3 linked regions of the Caenorhabditis elegans genome follow. The protein of the gene in region 2 interacts with the protein of the main gene of each other region in a pairwise test. Each region holds a gene or a part of one and is shown on either strand. Other genes may lie near its edges.

The links.
Region 1: the proteins of sms-1 (region 2) and lin-45 interact in a two-hybrid assay, tested with the Caenorhabditis elegans proteins (one large-scale study listed by BioGRID).
Region 3: the proteins of sms-1 (region 2) and lips-2 interact in a two-hybrid assay, tested with the Caenorhabditis elegans proteins (one large-scale study listed by BioGRID).

Annotation. Positions count from the first base shown.
Region 1 is NC_003282.8:6,742,406-6,750,204, reverse strand, and holds lin-45 (Raf homolog serine/threonine-protein kinase), read left to right. Parts: upstream 1-1,780; coding exon 1,781-1,852; intron 1,853-2,390; exon of another isoform or gene 2,391-2,484; coding exon of another isoform or gene 2,485-2,505; intron 2,506-2,746; coding exon 2,747-2,917; intron 2,918-3,079; coding exon 3,080-3,262; intron 3,263-3,313; coding exon 3,314-3,436; intron 3,437-3,488; coding exon 3,489-3,749; intron 3,750-4,108; coding exon 4,109-4,408; intron 4,409-4,458; coding exon 4,459-4,582; intron 4,583-4,755; coding exon 4,756-4,970; intron 4,971-5,015; coding exon 5,016-5,138; intron 5,139-5,355; coding exon 5,356-5,614; intron 5,615-5,660; coding exon 5,661-5,757; intron 5,758-5,806; coding exon 5,807-6,218; intron 6,219-6,739; coding exon 6,740-6,967; 3' UTR 6,968-7,667; downstream 7,668-7,799. Other genes in the region: smg-7 (DNA/RNA-binding domain-containing protein), read left to right, coding at 7,775-7,799. UniProt on the Caenorhabditis elegans protein: Protein kinase that participates in the induction of vulva and has roles in fertility and viability. Acts downstream of the Ras protein let-60. Required for progression of developing oocytes through the pachytene stage.
Region 2 is NC_003282.8:11,495,156-11,500,180, reverse strand, and holds the start of sms-1 (Phosphatidylcholine:ceramide cholinephosphotransferase 1), read left to right. Parts: upstream 1-2,006; 5' UTR 2,007-2,013; coding exon 2,014-2,098; intron 2,099-3,818; coding exon 3,819-3,902; intron 3,903-4,842; exon of another isoform or gene 4,843-5,025. UniProt on the Caenorhabditis elegans protein: Sphingomyelin synthases (SM synthase or SMS) synthesize the sphingolipid sphingomyelin (SM) through transfer of the phosphatidyl head group of 1,2-diacyl-sn-glycero-3-phosphocholine (phosphatidylcholine, PC) on to the primary hydroxyl of ceramide (N-acylsphingoid base), yielding 1,2-diacyl-sn-glycerol (diacylglycerol, DAG) as a side product.
Region 3 is NC_003284.9:12,283,799-12,287,805, forward strand, and holds lips-2 (LIPaSe related), read left to right. Parts: upstream 1-1,997; 5' UTR 1,998-2,025; coding exon 2,026-2,126; intron 2,127-2,178; coding exon 2,179-2,269; intron 2,270-2,315; coding exon 2,316-2,497; intron 2,498-2,554; coding exon 2,555-2,693; intron 2,694-2,736; coding exon 2,737-2,874; intron 2,875-2,920; coding exon 2,921-2,998; intron 2,999-3,068; coding exon 3,069-3,150; intron 3,151-3,196; coding exon 3,197-3,273; intron 3,274-3,317; coding exon 3,318-3,455; 3' UTR 3,456-3,488; downstream 3,489-4,007. Other genes in the region: C04B4.2 (EF-hand domain-containing protein), read left to right, coding at 1-52, 107-245, 294-975, 1,035-1,156; C04B4.5 (uncharacterized protein), read right to left, coding at 3,861-4,007.

The sequences.
Region 1 (7,799 bases), 4.8 Mb from region 2:
ACTATACAAAATGTAGTAAAAAGACAAACTTTGAGTACAACGAGCACACAGAGTATGAAGAGGTTTTTGAGCGACTAAACATAGAAATTTTTTCACTGTTTCAAGGGATCTAGTTTAAAATCGAAAAATCGATTTTTCGATTATAATCTTTGATTATAATCTTTGAATAGCGTTCAATTTGAAATGTCCAATGCTCTTAAACTTTTAACTGTAGAGGTAGATTTGGTGTTAATTTCTAAAGCTGGCGAAAACCTTGCAATAGATACTTTTAAACTTTTTTGGAGCTCGTTTGAGCATGTCGGCTGAAAATTTCTGAAGACAGGACGTCCCAATGTACGATTCAAAGTTAATTTCGATGAAGCCAAATTTCTGAATTTCTGTTGAAAATCTATATTAAGAACTACGATATCTCACATTAAAATGAAAATAATTGTTATTTTGCGAACTACAATTATACTGAAATAGGTTTTTTTTTGAAATTCTAGTGATCAAAGAAATTTGAAAAAGTTTTGTATAGTCAACATTAGATCAAAATAATGCTTTCGTAGTTTGTTTATTTAAAACTTTTAATAATAATCTTTAGAACCTCAATCTTTTTGATAAACCAAAACAAATATTTGATAGAAAAATGACCTCTTTGATGTGGAATATAGTGTATTTTGTTTCTTTTTTGAGGAATTGTTCGCACTTTTCAAGTGGAAATTGGCGGAAAAAGATGAGAATAGAGTGGAATGAAGAGGCGGAACGAACAAAACACATTTGATGCGCGATCCCATTGATTTTTATTCGTAGAATTTGGATTTTTTTCATAGATTTTTCAAAATAGATTTTTAGACTCACGCTTATTCCTCAAAACATGTATCAACTCAGATGGGTCTCGTCGCGAGAAAACACATTAAGACATATGTTTTAATCTCCGTGATGCCAGCTGCTTTTATTCTGCTTTCCAACTTTCGAAAATTTAGTTTCAAAATAACTGTTTAAAAGTGGTAAAGTTGACAAATGTTAAGATAATAAGTTGATAAGTAATACTTAAGTTAAGTTGATTCCAAGGAAGCAAATGATACCAAATTTTTCTAAATCCTAGAATGAACTATTTTTTCGTGGCAAGACCAATCTTAACAGATCAGTTCACTTTTCAGAAAATTTGAAAATTACCATAACGTAAAGGTAATCAGTTGAGTCATGTAATCCCTTTTTTCTCAAAAATGTCCACATTCTGCAAAATCTTAGTTGCAATATGTCACAGACATTTGTCTAGTCTGTCAGTTTCAGATAAACTTTTCCCGTTTTTTCAACTTTCACAGCTAATTCGGGGTGTACTAACTAGAAGTAGCTTATTAACCAAATGTCATCTAGTTCCTTCTTTTATAATTTGATTAGTGGTTTTTTTCGAATATATTCTTTTCTAGTTTGTGTTTTGTCACGTATGACCTTGTTTCTTCAAATCAACTTGCTGCTCTCTTCACAAACTAAGGTCATCTGTTTCGTGTTAAGACCCAACGCTGAAAACATTGTCAACCTATTCGTGGCACGTGTCGCTCCCGATTTACACGTTTCTTTTTCTTTGCTCTCTTTTTCTATCTCTCTCGATCAGAGCACAGAAACCAGTGAGAAAAAATAGATGGCGAAAACAAACCCCGCCTCTCTTTTTTTGTGTGTGAAGAGAACCATTGGATCCAAAGGGGCCCCTGTTAACAATATATTTTTACTTTCTGAAATTCTTCTAAAGTTATCTGGAGATAATTATATTCCATAATTGATCACATAACATTTTAAAATGTCTGCAATGGCTGTACTGTATTCAGTTTGTCACTTTCATGGAGGCTGGAATCGTCGGAAATCGGCACCAGTAAGTTGAAAACTGATTTAAATCAATAGGGTACACTCTGTGAAATCATAGTGATATTTGAATAATCAAATGACTTTATGAAGCAACCCGCGGGGCTTCTGTATTGAGAAAATACACGATTGCATTTAAAACTTTGCGAACACAATTGTTTAATTGGCCAGCAAATTGAACATTCGTGATTCCTTTTTTGAACATGGGAATCCCACGTTTCATTCGTAACATCTTTTTCAATACAAGTTTTAACTTTTCTTTTCAGCTATCGAGTTACTGTAGATTTGAAAAGTTAATTTATCAACTAATGAAAATAAACGTATTCCATATTTCCATTAATAATAGATTTATTTAAAGCTTCACTCCATCTACATAAATTCATATAACCGAGCGCAACGCTGTCCTTATTATTTGAAAATTCTAATAAACCCTGCAAAATCTGGGTTAAAATCTTCTGCGCGAAAATGGAAGAGAAAAGTGTGTTCGGCCCGCGGACTAACTCCCTCCGTGTACTCTTCTCGGAAAAGAAAAAAATCATCTTTGCGCCCCTTACCGCCGCTCTCTTTCTTTTGTTGACCTTCTATCTGCGAATATATTGATTTTCTGGTTTATTTTATTTTGGAATTAACTGCAATTTTCACATGGAATGCTCTCGCGAAACGGTGTGTTTTCGAACGTTTTCCACAAATAAAATGAAAGTGAAAAATGCTAAAGGGAAACATTTATTTGTTCAGATTGTTTTAAAAAGTGCTTCACAATAATAAAATAGAGCATCTGAAAAGTAATTTACTTATTGCTTGTTCTGATTTCTCAAATGTCCTTTAAAAGTCCGTGTTTAATGTTTTACTCGTCCAAATTGTCCTTTTGTTTTTTAATTACATGTAATCACTAACAGCAATTTAGAAGTCACCTGTCACATCATCTCAAACGCCATCATCATCGTCGACACGCCGCCGAATGAGTCGGATTAATTTCAAAAAGTCATCGGCGTCGACCACCCCGACGAGCCCACATTGCCCATCTCCGCGGCTTATAAGTCTGCCGAGATGTGCTTCTTCATCTATTGATCGGAAGGTAGAAAATTAGCAACGAATCCTTTGTCTTGAATTTTTTAACACTAATTACATGTTACTTGTGGGGAATCGTGTTAATCTATTCAATTCAGAATCAAGCGTCCACTTCTCATTCCAAAGATTATCAATTAAATATTTATATGTAACTCATAATTATTTTCAGGATCAAGCTTCGCCGATGGCAAGTCCTTCAACTCCTCTTTATCCAAAGCACAGTGATAGTCTTCATTCGTTATCTGGACATCATTCCGCTGGAGGAGCAGGAACAAGTGACAAGGAACCGCCAAAATTCAAATACAAAATGATTATGGTTCATTTGCCATTTGATCAACATTCTAGGGTTGAAGTAAGCAAAAAATTCACTGTGAAACGAAGAAAATAAGCACATTTTGTTCAGGTTCGTCCCGGTGAAACCGCGCGGGATGCCATTTCGAAATTGCTCAAAAAACGGAATATCACACCTCAATTATGTCACGTGAACGCGTCATCTGACCCAAAACAAGAATCTATTGAATTATCGGTGTGATTTACTGGAATCTAACAGCATAATTCTTATTTTTGAATATTTTCAGCTGACAATGGAAGAGATCGCATCCCGACTGCCTGGAAATGAATTATGGGTTCATTCAGAATATCTGAATACAGTCTCATCGATTAAACATGCAATTGTTCGAAGAACGTTTATTCCACCGAAATCATGTGATGTATGCAATAATCCTATCTGGATGATGGGATTTCGATGTGAATTTTGTCAATTCAAATTTCATCAAAGATGCTCATCGTTTGCACCACTTTATTGCGATTTGTTACAATCTGTACCGAAAAATGAAGATGTGCGTTCAGAACAAAGGCGGGCGGCAATATTACAAAATTACCAATGTTGTCCCAACATTTGTCATTAACGTCGAAATATAGAAAACCACATTATTTATCTAATGACAACTTTTAATTATGTTTAAAGATCTGTGAAAATGCACAATAATGGCCATTTGCCATAGGCAATTCGCAACTTCTAGGTCATTTTTGTGCATTTTCATAGATGTTTAAACATAATTAAAAGTTATCATTAGATAATTAAGGTGGTTCTATATATTTTTTACACTGATTTTTAATGAAAAATGTTGGAACAACATGGCGTAATTGCTCACCTCTGCTTCAGAAACAATTCTTATCTAAAACATTTAATTTTCAGCTAGTGAAAGAACTCTTTGGGATCGCATCACAAGTCGAAGGCCCAGATAGATCAGTTGCCGAAATAGTTCTTGCTAATCTAGCTCCAACGAGTGGACAAAGTCCAGCTGCCACACCAGACAGTTCTCATCCAGATTTGACGAGTATTAAACGAACGGGTGGTGTCAAAAGACATCCAATGGCTGTTTCTCCACAGAATGAAACATCTCAATTATCTCCATCCGGACCTTATCCACGGGATCGGAGCTCTTCTGCTCCGAATATCAATGCGATTAATGATGAGGCAACAGTTCAACATAATGTAATAGTCACCAATTTTAAAAGAAAAAGTCTAAAATGTATTATTTTCAGCAAAGAATTCTTGATGCATTGGAAGCTCAGCGATTAGAAGAAGAATCACGAGATAAAACTGGATCGTTACTTTCAACACAAGCACGTCATCGACCTCATTTCCAGAGTGGACATATTTTGTCAGGTAATCGAAAACAGAAAACATAACGATTCGTCAAAAGGTCAGGGAAGAAAAACAAAATTCCAAATTTAAGACGTTTTTCTAAAGTTATAAAAACAATTTTTACTCTATTCCACCTTCAAGAATTTCCCAAACGACTCTAATTATTTTAATTTCACTTATTCTCAATTATTCAGGAGCTCGAATGAATCGTCTTCACCCACTTGTTGACTGTACTCCTCTTGGCTCGAATTCTCCTTCATCTACATGTTCATCACCTCCAGGTGGCTTAATCGGACAACCTACTCTTGGACAATCCCCGAATGTATCAGGATCAACGACGTCATCATTAGTAGCCGCTCATTTGCATACTCTCCCATTAACACCACCACAATCAGCACCTCCTCAGAAGGTAGAATTCAAAAAAATCTATTTTTCTTCAATTAAAAATGTTTAGATTTCACCTGGTTTCTTCCGAAATCGTAGTCGATCGCCAGGCGAACGACTTGATGCACAACGACCCAGGCCGCCACAGAAACCACATCATGAGGATTGGGAAATATTGCCGAATGAATTTATTGTAAGTTTATTCTACATCAGCAAGGGTGCACGGCTTTTGCAAACCGGCAGTTCTACAAAAGGAGCATGTTATCCTAATTTTTTTCATTTAAATTCAGTGATCGAATATAGAAAAAAAACATTTTATTTATCTGAAAATAGCTTTTTTTTTTACAGTTGAAGCAATAAAAAAACGCTCAAAACTTCTGTCAAAACTATTAAAACAAGCATTCTTTTAGATTCAATACAAAGTTGGTTCGGGATCCTTCGGTACCGTCTATCGTGGAGAATTCTTCGGAACTGTTGCTATAAAAAAGCTGAATGTTGTTGATCCGACGCCTTCTCAAATGGCAGCCTTTAAAAATGAAGTTGCAGTTTTAAAGAAAACACGTCATTTGAATGTTTTGCTGTTTATGGGATGGGTTCGAGAACCAGAAATTGCAATTATTACTCAATGGTGTGAAGGATCGAGTTTGTATAGACATATTCATGTTCAAGGTGATCTGAACTGAGATTTTAATTCTTATAATTTAATAATTTTCAGAGCCACGCGTCGAATTTGAAATGGGTGCTATCATTGATATACTGAAGCAAGTGTCTCTTGGAATGAATTATTTACATTCAAAAAATATTATTCATCGGTAACTGACCATATCTATAATTTATGTTTAAATGTTTAAAACATTTCAGTGACTTGAAAACGAACAATATATTCCTTATGGATGACATGTCAACGGTAAAAATTGGAGATTTCGGCTTGGCAACTGTCAAAACGAAATGGACAGTGAACGGAGGTCAACAGCAACAACAACCAACAGGAAGTATTCTCTGGATGGCACCTGAAGTCATCAGAATGCAAGATGATAATCCATATACCCCACAGTCTGATGTGTATTCTTTTGGAATATGCATGTACGAAATTCTATCTTCGCATCTACCATACTCCAACATTAATAATCGAGATCAGATATTGTTTATGGTTGGAAGAGGGTATTTGAGGCCGGATAGATCGAAAATTCGACATGATACGCCGAAGAGCATGCTCAAATTATATGACAATTGCATTATGTTCGATAGAAATGAGCGGCCAGTATTTGGAGAGGTGAGTGGGAAATACCGACTTTAGAAATTTGGTAGAACTATGATTTATTATGGGGTTATTCATGAGTGTCAAAAAACTTTTAAAAAATCGATTTTTTGTACTTTGTACATGTTTCGACAGCGTCGACGAGCGAAAAACTACAGTAAGCCGCCATGCGGCGAGACCATACGTTTTCATATGACTATGTCTCTTCAAAAGTTGTGTAAATTTACGAGCTGGGCGTTCTCCCCGTGTACACCGCGAGGACAATTCGGAATTTATTTTCTTCCAGTACTTCACACATTTTCGCTCTTTTTTTTCACATTTAAAATTGGCAGTTTTGTCTAAATATGGTGGCTTCCTTTGATTTTTCACTCTTTGACGCTGTCGAAAAATGGATAAAAACATGCTTTTAAGAAATCGATGTATTTTTTAAAAACATTTTTTTCGCTCATGAATAACTCCACTACACTGAAAAATCCAAAAAAATATTGTAGTTTGATTTTTAAATAAATTTTAATGAATGAATTCCAATTTTTCAGGTTCTCGAACGACTTCGCGACATAATTCTTCCAAAATTGACTCGTTCTCAATCAGCTCCGAATGTTCTTCACTTAGACTCGCAATATTCGGTGATGGATGCTGTAATGAGAAGCCAAATGCTTTCCTGGTCATATATTCCACCTGCAACTGCAAAAACCCCACAATCAGCAGCAGCAGCGGCCGCTGCTAACAAGAAGGCATACTACAATGTCTATGGTCTCATTTAGTTTTATTTTGTTTTTTTTTTTGAAAATCAAGGGACACTGCAACTTTTTAGTTGATTTTCTCGTCTCTCCCCGAATATGTACCTTTATTTTCTCTCTTTTTTCTATTCTTCCCAGTGATTTTCCCTACCCCATGTGTACACTAACCAAAAAACTTCCAGTCGAAGAATAATCTCGCCCATCGTTATTTTACTAATCATTTCTCGTCACATTGAATCCTGTTCTATTATTCACCCCCTCATCACCCATCCCGATATTATTATTATTATTTTAACCCCGTATTCACCGTTTCCTCCAAAACTTAAAAATCCCACCAAAATACTTTCTTTCCAGTCTAAGTCCGCCTGCAATCGTTCCCCCATGTGAAATTGTGATAATTTTCATATTTTTGTTTCGGCTAAACCGGTAGAACTTTTTCTTTTCCAACTATAATGCTTTTTATTGAAAACGTTTCTTTTGATAAGTTTTCAATGTTCCCACCCCATTTCCGTTTCCAAACATCCCAAAGATTCTCTGTATGTATAGAATTATATAGAATCCAATGCCTATCCGTTTTGTTTTTGTCATTTCGAACACATTTTGAAACTTCCATTTATTTTAATTTCAAAATGCAGCATCCCCATTCCTTTTCTGAACCGGGTTATTTGAATCATTTAATTTTTGCAAACAAAAAAAGTTGAAGATAAAATAATTTTTCGCCTGACTTCCTGTTTCTTCTTTTGAGTGGCTAGAAAAAGTGTAGGATTTCAGATTAATATTTTAAAATTTGAAAAAAAAACAAAACAATTTTGTTCCAGAGGATTCCACAGGATGTCGGACGAATGGGAACAGCTTA
Region 2 (5,025 bases):
AAAATCAAGACTGAAATCTTCGACTCTACATTATCTAGGAGTCCCTATATATCGCAAGCTATTCTCAACTTTTAATACGCTATATATATTCTACGTTAACATAAATGCCCTCCCAATCGTATCTATATGAATATATTCTTCATTCAAAATGTTGTACTTGTGTTCCAAATTTTCAAAAAATTGTCGTCGTTTCCACCGCGATTTGTCTCGATAATCGGCCACAAAGTATTGTTGAAATAGGACAATTTTTGTTTATAACCCCGATTCAATTTTTTTATTTCAATTTCTTCCTTCTCTTCAATAATTATATTACTGCTCATTTGCGTCCCAGTTGGCAGTTATCAGCTTGTTATCAGATGTTTGAAAGTGCAAGTAAACTCAAAACAGAAAGGAGAGGAAAAGTCGAAAACAATGGATGTGGATTTCATAACTCATTTATTAAATATTCTCACCCCGATATAATAAATCACATTCATATCCGAAATAAATAAATAATGCATGCCAGGGGAATATATTTTTTTTGCCCCGAAATTTTGCTACAAAAATATGGTAACGGGTCCCGAGTAGGGACTCCCGACAGGACATTTTTGTTGAATGCGAAGAGTCATGCGCCTTTAAAGAGTACTGTAAAGTTTGCTGTAAAATTTTCAAACAAAAATATAATGAGTTACTGAAAAAATCCGATAAATTTTAACGATCGTTCGAATCGTGAAAAAAAATTTTAAAATGAAAATTCAGCAGTAAAGCTTGAAATTACGGTAACCTTTAAAGGCTAACACCCTTTTGTAAATCAAACATTCGTCGTGTCGAGACCGGGTACCGTATTTTTGGGACAAAATTTCGCGTCTGGGCCGGTGCCAACTAGCAGCTACTGTTTTTTAATTCAAACCGTAACATGCCAAAAGCGTCGAAAACTGATTGTTTTGTTGTCATTCTCCCCAGTCTCTTTTCGTGTTGATCCTCCAGCTGATCAAACATTGATTTGTCTCGAAAACAGAACGCCGGCCTTGTCCTTCATCTCTCTATGTCTCGTATCAAGGCAGAACCTAGCACACTCACTAGTTTTTTGTCTTGCTTTTGTCTTCTTCCGCATTAGCAATGAATTGATAGTATTGTTTTGAAAACTGATATCTTTGTGCTCTAACGTTTATATTTCTTTGACTGATAAACAAAAAAGAAATAGTATATGTCTCCATATGATCTCTCAATTGTTTATATTCATATTATTCTACCCCTCTTCCTCTTGTTTCCTTCCATATCATATCGTTTTTCCCCGATTGACCACCCTCCAACAGCTCACGACATCCATTTTTCAAGCATTTGTACCTAACATTTTCCTCTTAGAAAATGCGTTTTTGTTTTCTTTTCCACTACTGCCACCTGGGTGCACCTTTGTTCTTGTTGTCTCTACTTTGAGTTCTTTCTTTTTACTTCTATCTCTGCCTTTGCGTACATGCTCAATTAGACAGCCTTGAGTAAGAGTAGATAACTAAAATTCTAAAAATTGGCACCCTGCAGTCAAAAATGTCTAGCTTTTTTCATTGTAGTAATTTTCGGAAAAAAACTCAATTTAATTGTTTTTTTTTTAATCCTGAAATATAAATATTTAGAAAATAATCCGAGATTTTAATACATCACAACCAGTGTTTTTTTTTAATTTAAAACACTTTCGTTTATAATTCAAAAAATATATATTTTTAAAAAACTTTCAATTGAAATTCTGAAAAAATATTGATCAAAGGAAAAACAGATTTGAAACAATTTTAAGTAGCCTATACCGTAGGTCAATTTTAAAGGCACACACTGAATATCTGCGCATCGGTCTCGACGCGACTCATAAATAAGGCTTGTAAATTTGAATTCTTAATTTTATTTCTCTTCCTAAAAGCAGTTTTTATTCGGAGTTTGATGCTTTATTAGTTGTTTTTCTGAAAATTAGTATTAATTACACTTATAATTTTTATGTGACTTAATTTTACTCGTTTTACAGCGTAATTAAGCAGATTTTTCAGAATGTCGGTGACGGTGGAGGTTGCCGATGAAGAAACGCATGATGTTCCGCTGGTTGAGCAAGTTCGAACTACACCTGATCAAAACGGTGAGGCGATTTTTCGAAAATTAAGAAAAAAAAACAAATTTTAATCGGATCAAAAAATTACAAATTACGTGTCACACTGAATTGTTCCTCAGACAAACCATATCATACTAACTCAGAGTAAAAAGCGGAGTTACATAATGGTAAAGCACACTAACCGCAGTTCGGTGCAAGTGTGGTTTTACTCGGAGTAACCACGCTTTACTATGCCTAGCTCAGCTTTACTATGACTAGACCTGACTAGCTCTGACCAGCTCTGATTTACTATGACTAGGTCTACTTATTACCCTGATTAACTCTGATATTCTCTGACTAGCTATGATTTACTATGCCTAGCTCTGATTTACTCTGACCAACTCTGATTTGCTATGACTTTTTCTCAAATTTTTCTGCTGATTCTGATTTTTTTTTCTAGAAAAGGGGATCCAAATATCAATAATAAATCAGTAGAAAACGCATATTAAAGACAAAAATGTTTTCTAGAGAACCCCTACTACTTGCTTATTGCCTCTCCTTGTCAACCCTTCGCCCTGCTTCATAGAACCTTCCCTTCAAGCCCCTGCCGTTTCCCGAACCCCGATCTTCTGATTACTAATCCCATCCCTTAACCACTAAGCTATGCACGCGCCGATAACACAGTGGAACATATCCATATATAAACAAATCAATGGTCGAAATCTGTATTACCTGTACAGAAAGTGTAGATAGTTAGAGAGTGACAGACATCCGGGACCCAATGGGGCGGGACGCGCGGAAGAGACGATTTGTGTCGATTTACGACATTTTCCTCGTTGTCATCATTTCGTAAATCGACACAAATCGTCTCTTCCGCGCGCCCCGCCCCATTGGGTCCCGGATGTCTGTCACTCTCTAACTATCTACACTCTCTGTGCCGGTAATAACACACCGTTTCTCTCAAAGTGAACTATGAAATCTGAAATTCCCGCAAAAAAAACTTCTCGAGAAAACTAAAAACTTCCTACAGTACTACTACAGTACCTTGACCATATCCCCCTACTAACTTCAAGTCAATACCTCTTCAAAAGTCAAAAATTCAAATGTTCCCAAACTACAGTAACCCCACCGTATACCTACAGTACCCTACATTTTCTCGCATCTCGTGTGCAGTTTAGCGATGGGAGAACCTGACACTGTGTAAAAATACATAATGAAACTTTTCAATTTGTTAGCTCTTTTAAATTTTTCATGTATTGTCAAAAATCGGGAATTACTCTGTTCTCCAAATACTAATTTTAGAAGTCGATCAGAAAAACAGTATTTAATGATTTTTTTTCTGATTTGTCTTGCGATTTTTTTTTTTCAAACTTGCTTCGAAAAGTTATAATTCAAAGTCAAAATATGATCACACATAAGTATTGTATGATATCATGAAACGAGAAAACTAAAATTTAAATTCCCGCCTGAAATTCGAAGGGTCAGTAAGTGCGCTCCACTATATGGGTAATTTCATAGCTAGTCAGGGCTAGTCAGATCTAGGTAGAACTAGACAGAGTAAATCAAGTCTGACTTACTCTGCCTAGTTCTACCTAGATCTGACTAGCCCTGACTAGCTCTGCTTTGTCGATTGGAATAAATCATAGTTACTTTACTCTGATTTCCTCTTCCTAGATCTGGCTAACTATGCCTAGCTCGGAATTGGTCTGATTGTACTTTGTCGATCTGATTTACTCTGTCACTCAAAACACCTAAACAATTGTTTCAGTTGATGTAAAAGTCCAAGAAAACAACGTCGTAACAACGAAAATTGGGCCAAAACTCGAAACAATTCCAGCAGCAAAAATGCAAGGTACGTTCAACTGTTGGCTAGAGTTTTCGAAACATAGCTGTAGTGGTTGTAGTTTTTGAAGGGTAAACAGATATTTAGCCGATTTCTGTTCGAATCGCTGTTCTGAGCATTGCCACCGAGCCATCGGTTACCCAACTGTGTCAACATTTAATGACCGAATGGGATGTTAAAAATAGGAAATTGGGGATTTGAGCGGCCTGTAGGAAAATGGTAATAAAATAATTCAATCATGCAAATACAATTTCAACACTAAAAATTTCTGTTCACATTGCCAATATTGTTTTTTAAGGGGGAGTAGAGTTTGTCGGGTTTCTAAAGTCCGAGAAAGTTTGGGTCAGAATTTCGAAAAATGAAGGCAAATGTTTTTTCTAAAATCAGAGATTTCGCCAACTTGGCGTTTTCGTGGGTGCTGGAATACAGTTTTTATCAAATTATCGATCTTTATTGCATACTTTTCTCGTTTATTACGCGTTAATTCGTAGATTTAAGCGCATTTTAAGTCGGTAGGCATCCAATTTTGGTAATTTTTGGGCGCCGACCATTTTAAAATGTGCCCTAATCAACGAATTAACACTTGATAAGCGAGGAAATTATACAATAAATGTTGATAACATAATAAAAATTGTATTCCAGGTGCTGCTACGAAAACGTCAAGTTGCGGAAATTTCAGCTTCTCCGCCATTAAAACAAATTTTGGAAATTTTTCGGTTGTTTCGGGCCCTTTTTTTAATTAAAAACCCAAAATCCCTACTCCCTCTTTAAAAATGAATCGACTATTTTTCGGAAAACCTACTCCACTTCAGTGTACGTCATCAAGAAACAACACTTGTAAGAGCATTATCCAGATTACATGTCCGTTAGTTTTTTCTTCTTCTCTTGTAAGAAATTTCATCCGTCTTCTTCCAGCAGATCTAATCAACTTATACCTCTTCTTTTTTGCGTTCTTTGTCATCCTAGTTTTGCTCCGCTTCAAAAAAAAAGGAGCGGAGCCTCTTTGTGTGCCAAACGGAGAAATACGAAGAGAAACAGAGAAGCCGCTGGGACCCTTTTCTAGAAGGGAATGCTCCATCTTCAGACGGCTCCCTCGCATCGATTCCAGGGTCCCTGCCTCTGTGTCTCTACA
Region 3 (4,007 bases), on a different chromosome or scaffold from region 2:
GAATTCTCGAGCTCTTCCAGCAACAAGCTGTCCTCTCTTTGCCACTGAGCAGGTAAGCATTACAGAATTGATTTTTGAAACTCTCTCTCTTAAAATATATTTTCAGCATGATAAGTGAGTTGGGCAAGTTCGGTGAAGACGATGTCTCTCAATACATTGGTATTTCGGATGAAGAACGTGGCATGTTCATCAAGCGTCGCACCCATCTTTTCACTGTTGGATGGAACGATTTGGTCACTCTTCAGGTTTGTTCACAAATTTTGAAATGAAATAGCATATTGTTTTTTTTTCAGAGTCCAGACTTCTACCAGGCGATTGTTCTAATCCTTTCGTACATCCTTTGCAACGGAGGTGTCACATCAACTGAGAATGTCTTCGAGTTCTACCAGACCGATAACGTGCCGCTGTCTGTTCGTCAACGTACGGGAAGTGACATGAATTCCTTCCGGGAAATTATCGATTTTCACTCGTGGGCGTTCACTTTATCATCTCACGGTACCTATGTTTCTGCCAAGAGAAACTTGCCACATTTCGACTACATGTCCTTCTTCGAAGGAATTGTGTGCACCGCAACACCACAACGACATCAGAAGAGTAAGCTTCTCAAGCACCCACCAGGATTGCAAATTCCACTGTTGAATACCAGAGCACAAGCTCTTGGGCAGGCATCCATGCATCAGCAACAGCAGGAACACATTTCTAATCCGTATCAAGGATATCAGCCATATTTGCACCGTGAAGATATGACCAATGGAATGAAGAAGCCAACTGGGACTCTGATCGATGGAGCAAACCAAAAGCATTGTTTTGGGATGCAGGTTTCATCACCGGACCGGAATGCTTTCGAAAAGCCATCAGTATTTGGCCACACATGGGGTGATGTGATCGCTTTCAATAAGAACTCTGCAAACTTCTCACGTGGAATGCAATCCAAGAGAAGATACAATCTCTCCTCCATGTTCAGAAACCTGAAGTGTAAGTTTTCTTTAGAAAATAGTTCATCGTTTTCGTTCATCGGCTTAAATAATTTTCAGATTCTGGATTCCGCTCATCAATTGACTCCACGTCAAGCTCCGACGATTCTCAATCCTTGGATAATTGCTCGACTTCTGGTGTGAACAACATGCTCATTGGTTGCGGTCCACAAATGTATTAGATATTTTTTGAGCTTGTATTCTTTTTGCCATAGTGCCAATTGTCCGTAAATTTATGTTCCCATTTTTTACCAAAAAACTCCCCGTATAGTTTTATCACACCAACCCTATTGTGTTCCCATCCCCTAGTTTATTGATTGCCGGTATCTCCTTAGAACGAGGTATCAAGAGTATTGCCTTGCTTCTTGCTTCTCATGATAATTATTAATCAATGACCCATATAATAGATTTGATTATAGTATTAACTGAAATTTATAATATTCCCTTCTCCTTTTGTTGCCTTGGTTAAGCATTCAAGTTTTACATTTGTCATTAAAATGTTCTTTCTATAGAGTTTTGAATAAAAACTGATTTCAGATCGAATAAGAAAATGCGTTTTCTGGAAGTACGTATTTACTTAGATTGGACTGCATCAGAAAGCGTTAAAATCCGATTTCCGAACGGTTAAGATGTCCCTACGAGGGACGCCATTTCTCTAAACCACGCTTAACCTCTATGGAAAAATACTGTATATTCCCGCAATCTATGACCGAATGAAGCGGTCGTTTCCGTGGCATCAAATTGATGACTTCGTTTTTACAATATTTTGTTGTTAACAAATTATCGATTTCTGCCACAGAAAAGTTGTTTATATGTAGTAGTGTTTGCTGTATTTGCGGCTCGTCACAAGTTAACCACGTCGGATTATTTTTCAAGTATTCCTTATGTTTTTCTTTCTTATTGATGTTTGTTCTTGAATGATTTAGGGATGGTTCAAAAAGTGGTTCCATACGTCACGTGATGCCTAATCGAATTAAAGACGTTGAAAGCAGACCAAAAAGTGTTAGCTCGTCAGTCTCAGTTCAACGTTTCGCTTTCATATACATACACCATGAAGCCCGAAATCTATGTTTTTATACTGTCATCATATCTCTACCGGTGTTTTGCCATTGTTGGTCCTATCACAGAAGATTTTGTGCAATACTTGAAAGAGTGCGTTTAAGGGAATTACAGATAATGAGAACTCTTATCAAATCAAATTCAGAGTGGAACATACAAATTCCGGGTTGCTTCGCCACGTTAAAAGTTTCGATCACACTGGGTCATTCGGAGGGAAAAGTTTTCCACAAGAAAAAGTAGAAACAAGAATAGGTTATTGAAAATAGAAAATTTAACTTTCAGGTTAAACATTCACCAATTGTATTCATTCACGGAAATTCGGATTCTGCGTTGAAATATGGTAATGATCAATATCAGTCCGGTTGGGACACAGTTGTCCAGTATTTTATGGATCGTGGATATACGCTGGCAGAGCTATATGGAATATCTTATGGTGACAGGAACATGACACAATCTGTTTTTAGGTAGAAAATTATACTACACATTGACTTTGGTTCTGTAAACCTAGAAATTGATTCTAGAGTTTTCAACTGTCAGGACCTATTGCTCCATCGCCAGCTTCTTCTCTCAGTTTTAGTGTACACCGGTGCCCGACATATTGACATCATTGCTCATTCAATGGGAGTAAGCATCGCACGGGCAATTATCCAAGGCGGAAAAGTTTATATTTTTGAATACTTATTCTTAATCAAGGAATTTGTAGTTCACATCAGAGAAAGAATCGTGTGACCTTGGTTCAGACTTTTCATCTTTAATAGGAACATTCATAGCAATTTCCTCTGCAAATTATGGAATGTGTTCATGTGAAGCTGGCACGGCTTTTCCAGCTTGTGACAAAGAAGTGATACGAAAAATTAACCCATTGGAGTATTAATTCGAAGTTTCAGATTGGTTTTTTCCCGGGTTATTGTCCAAGACAAAACTGTTCTTCTCCAAGTATTAAAATTGGTGCTCAATGCTATAAGGCAAGTTTTGAATTGATAACTTTAAATTGCGTTCAGGAACCAATTGGAAAGCAAAAAATCTTTTCTTCAGACAAAGTACTCCAAATTTCTAACAAAGCTCAATAAAGTTCATAAAAAAGAAGCAGAATTCATAGCCAGTATTTGGAGCAAAGGTAAAACCTAGAAATATCTTTTGAAACAAACATCAGAAAATTTCAGATGATGAAGTTTTTCTGAAAGGGAATCTAGTTTGGGGAAAACAGACATCATTGGTCCCAGGCAGCAACATTTGGAAGGTTGAATTTCATTTGAACAATAATTAAATTATATTCTATTGCAGGAGTATCCTCAGTTAACACATATGGAAACTAAAACTGAAACAGCAGCGGACCAATTTAAAATCATTACTTCAAGATCTGCTCCGTCAGCGCAAACTAAAAAATCATATGCGAAAAGAAAAAACTGGAATTTTTATTGACAGAATTGAATGCATAAAGATTTATATCACTTTATAGTTTTTGGTAGTTCAAGCTCATTGTTCAAATGAAAAGTTTTTCATGTTCACGGTGTACTTCAACTTTTTTTTATTCGTTAATTTTTAGGTTTGTATCAAGATTTTGTTTCAACCGAGTATTAGCGTACAGCAACTTTTACAGTTTTCAGCAATCAAAAATTTTTAGATTGGACAATTTTGGCAACTACCGATGACAACATCAAATAACAATTACATCTTGAAAAACAGAGACACTCTGAAAGAGGCCAATATCTCACCTTAAAAGAAAGAATAAAAACGATTGTTTTAAAAAATATGTACATATGAAAAGTTCCACCCTAATCTTTTGGCAACTTCGGAAAAAAAATTCCAAGTAGTGACACTTTGCAATTAAAATTCATGATCAGTTATTATTTTTTTTTTTCGATTTGAGAGTCTGGACCAAAAATCAGATTCGGAAAAAAATTTGAGACTGCAAGATTGAAAAATTGAGATTGTACAATGTTCACTGTTAAAACTCGATAATGATACAAAACT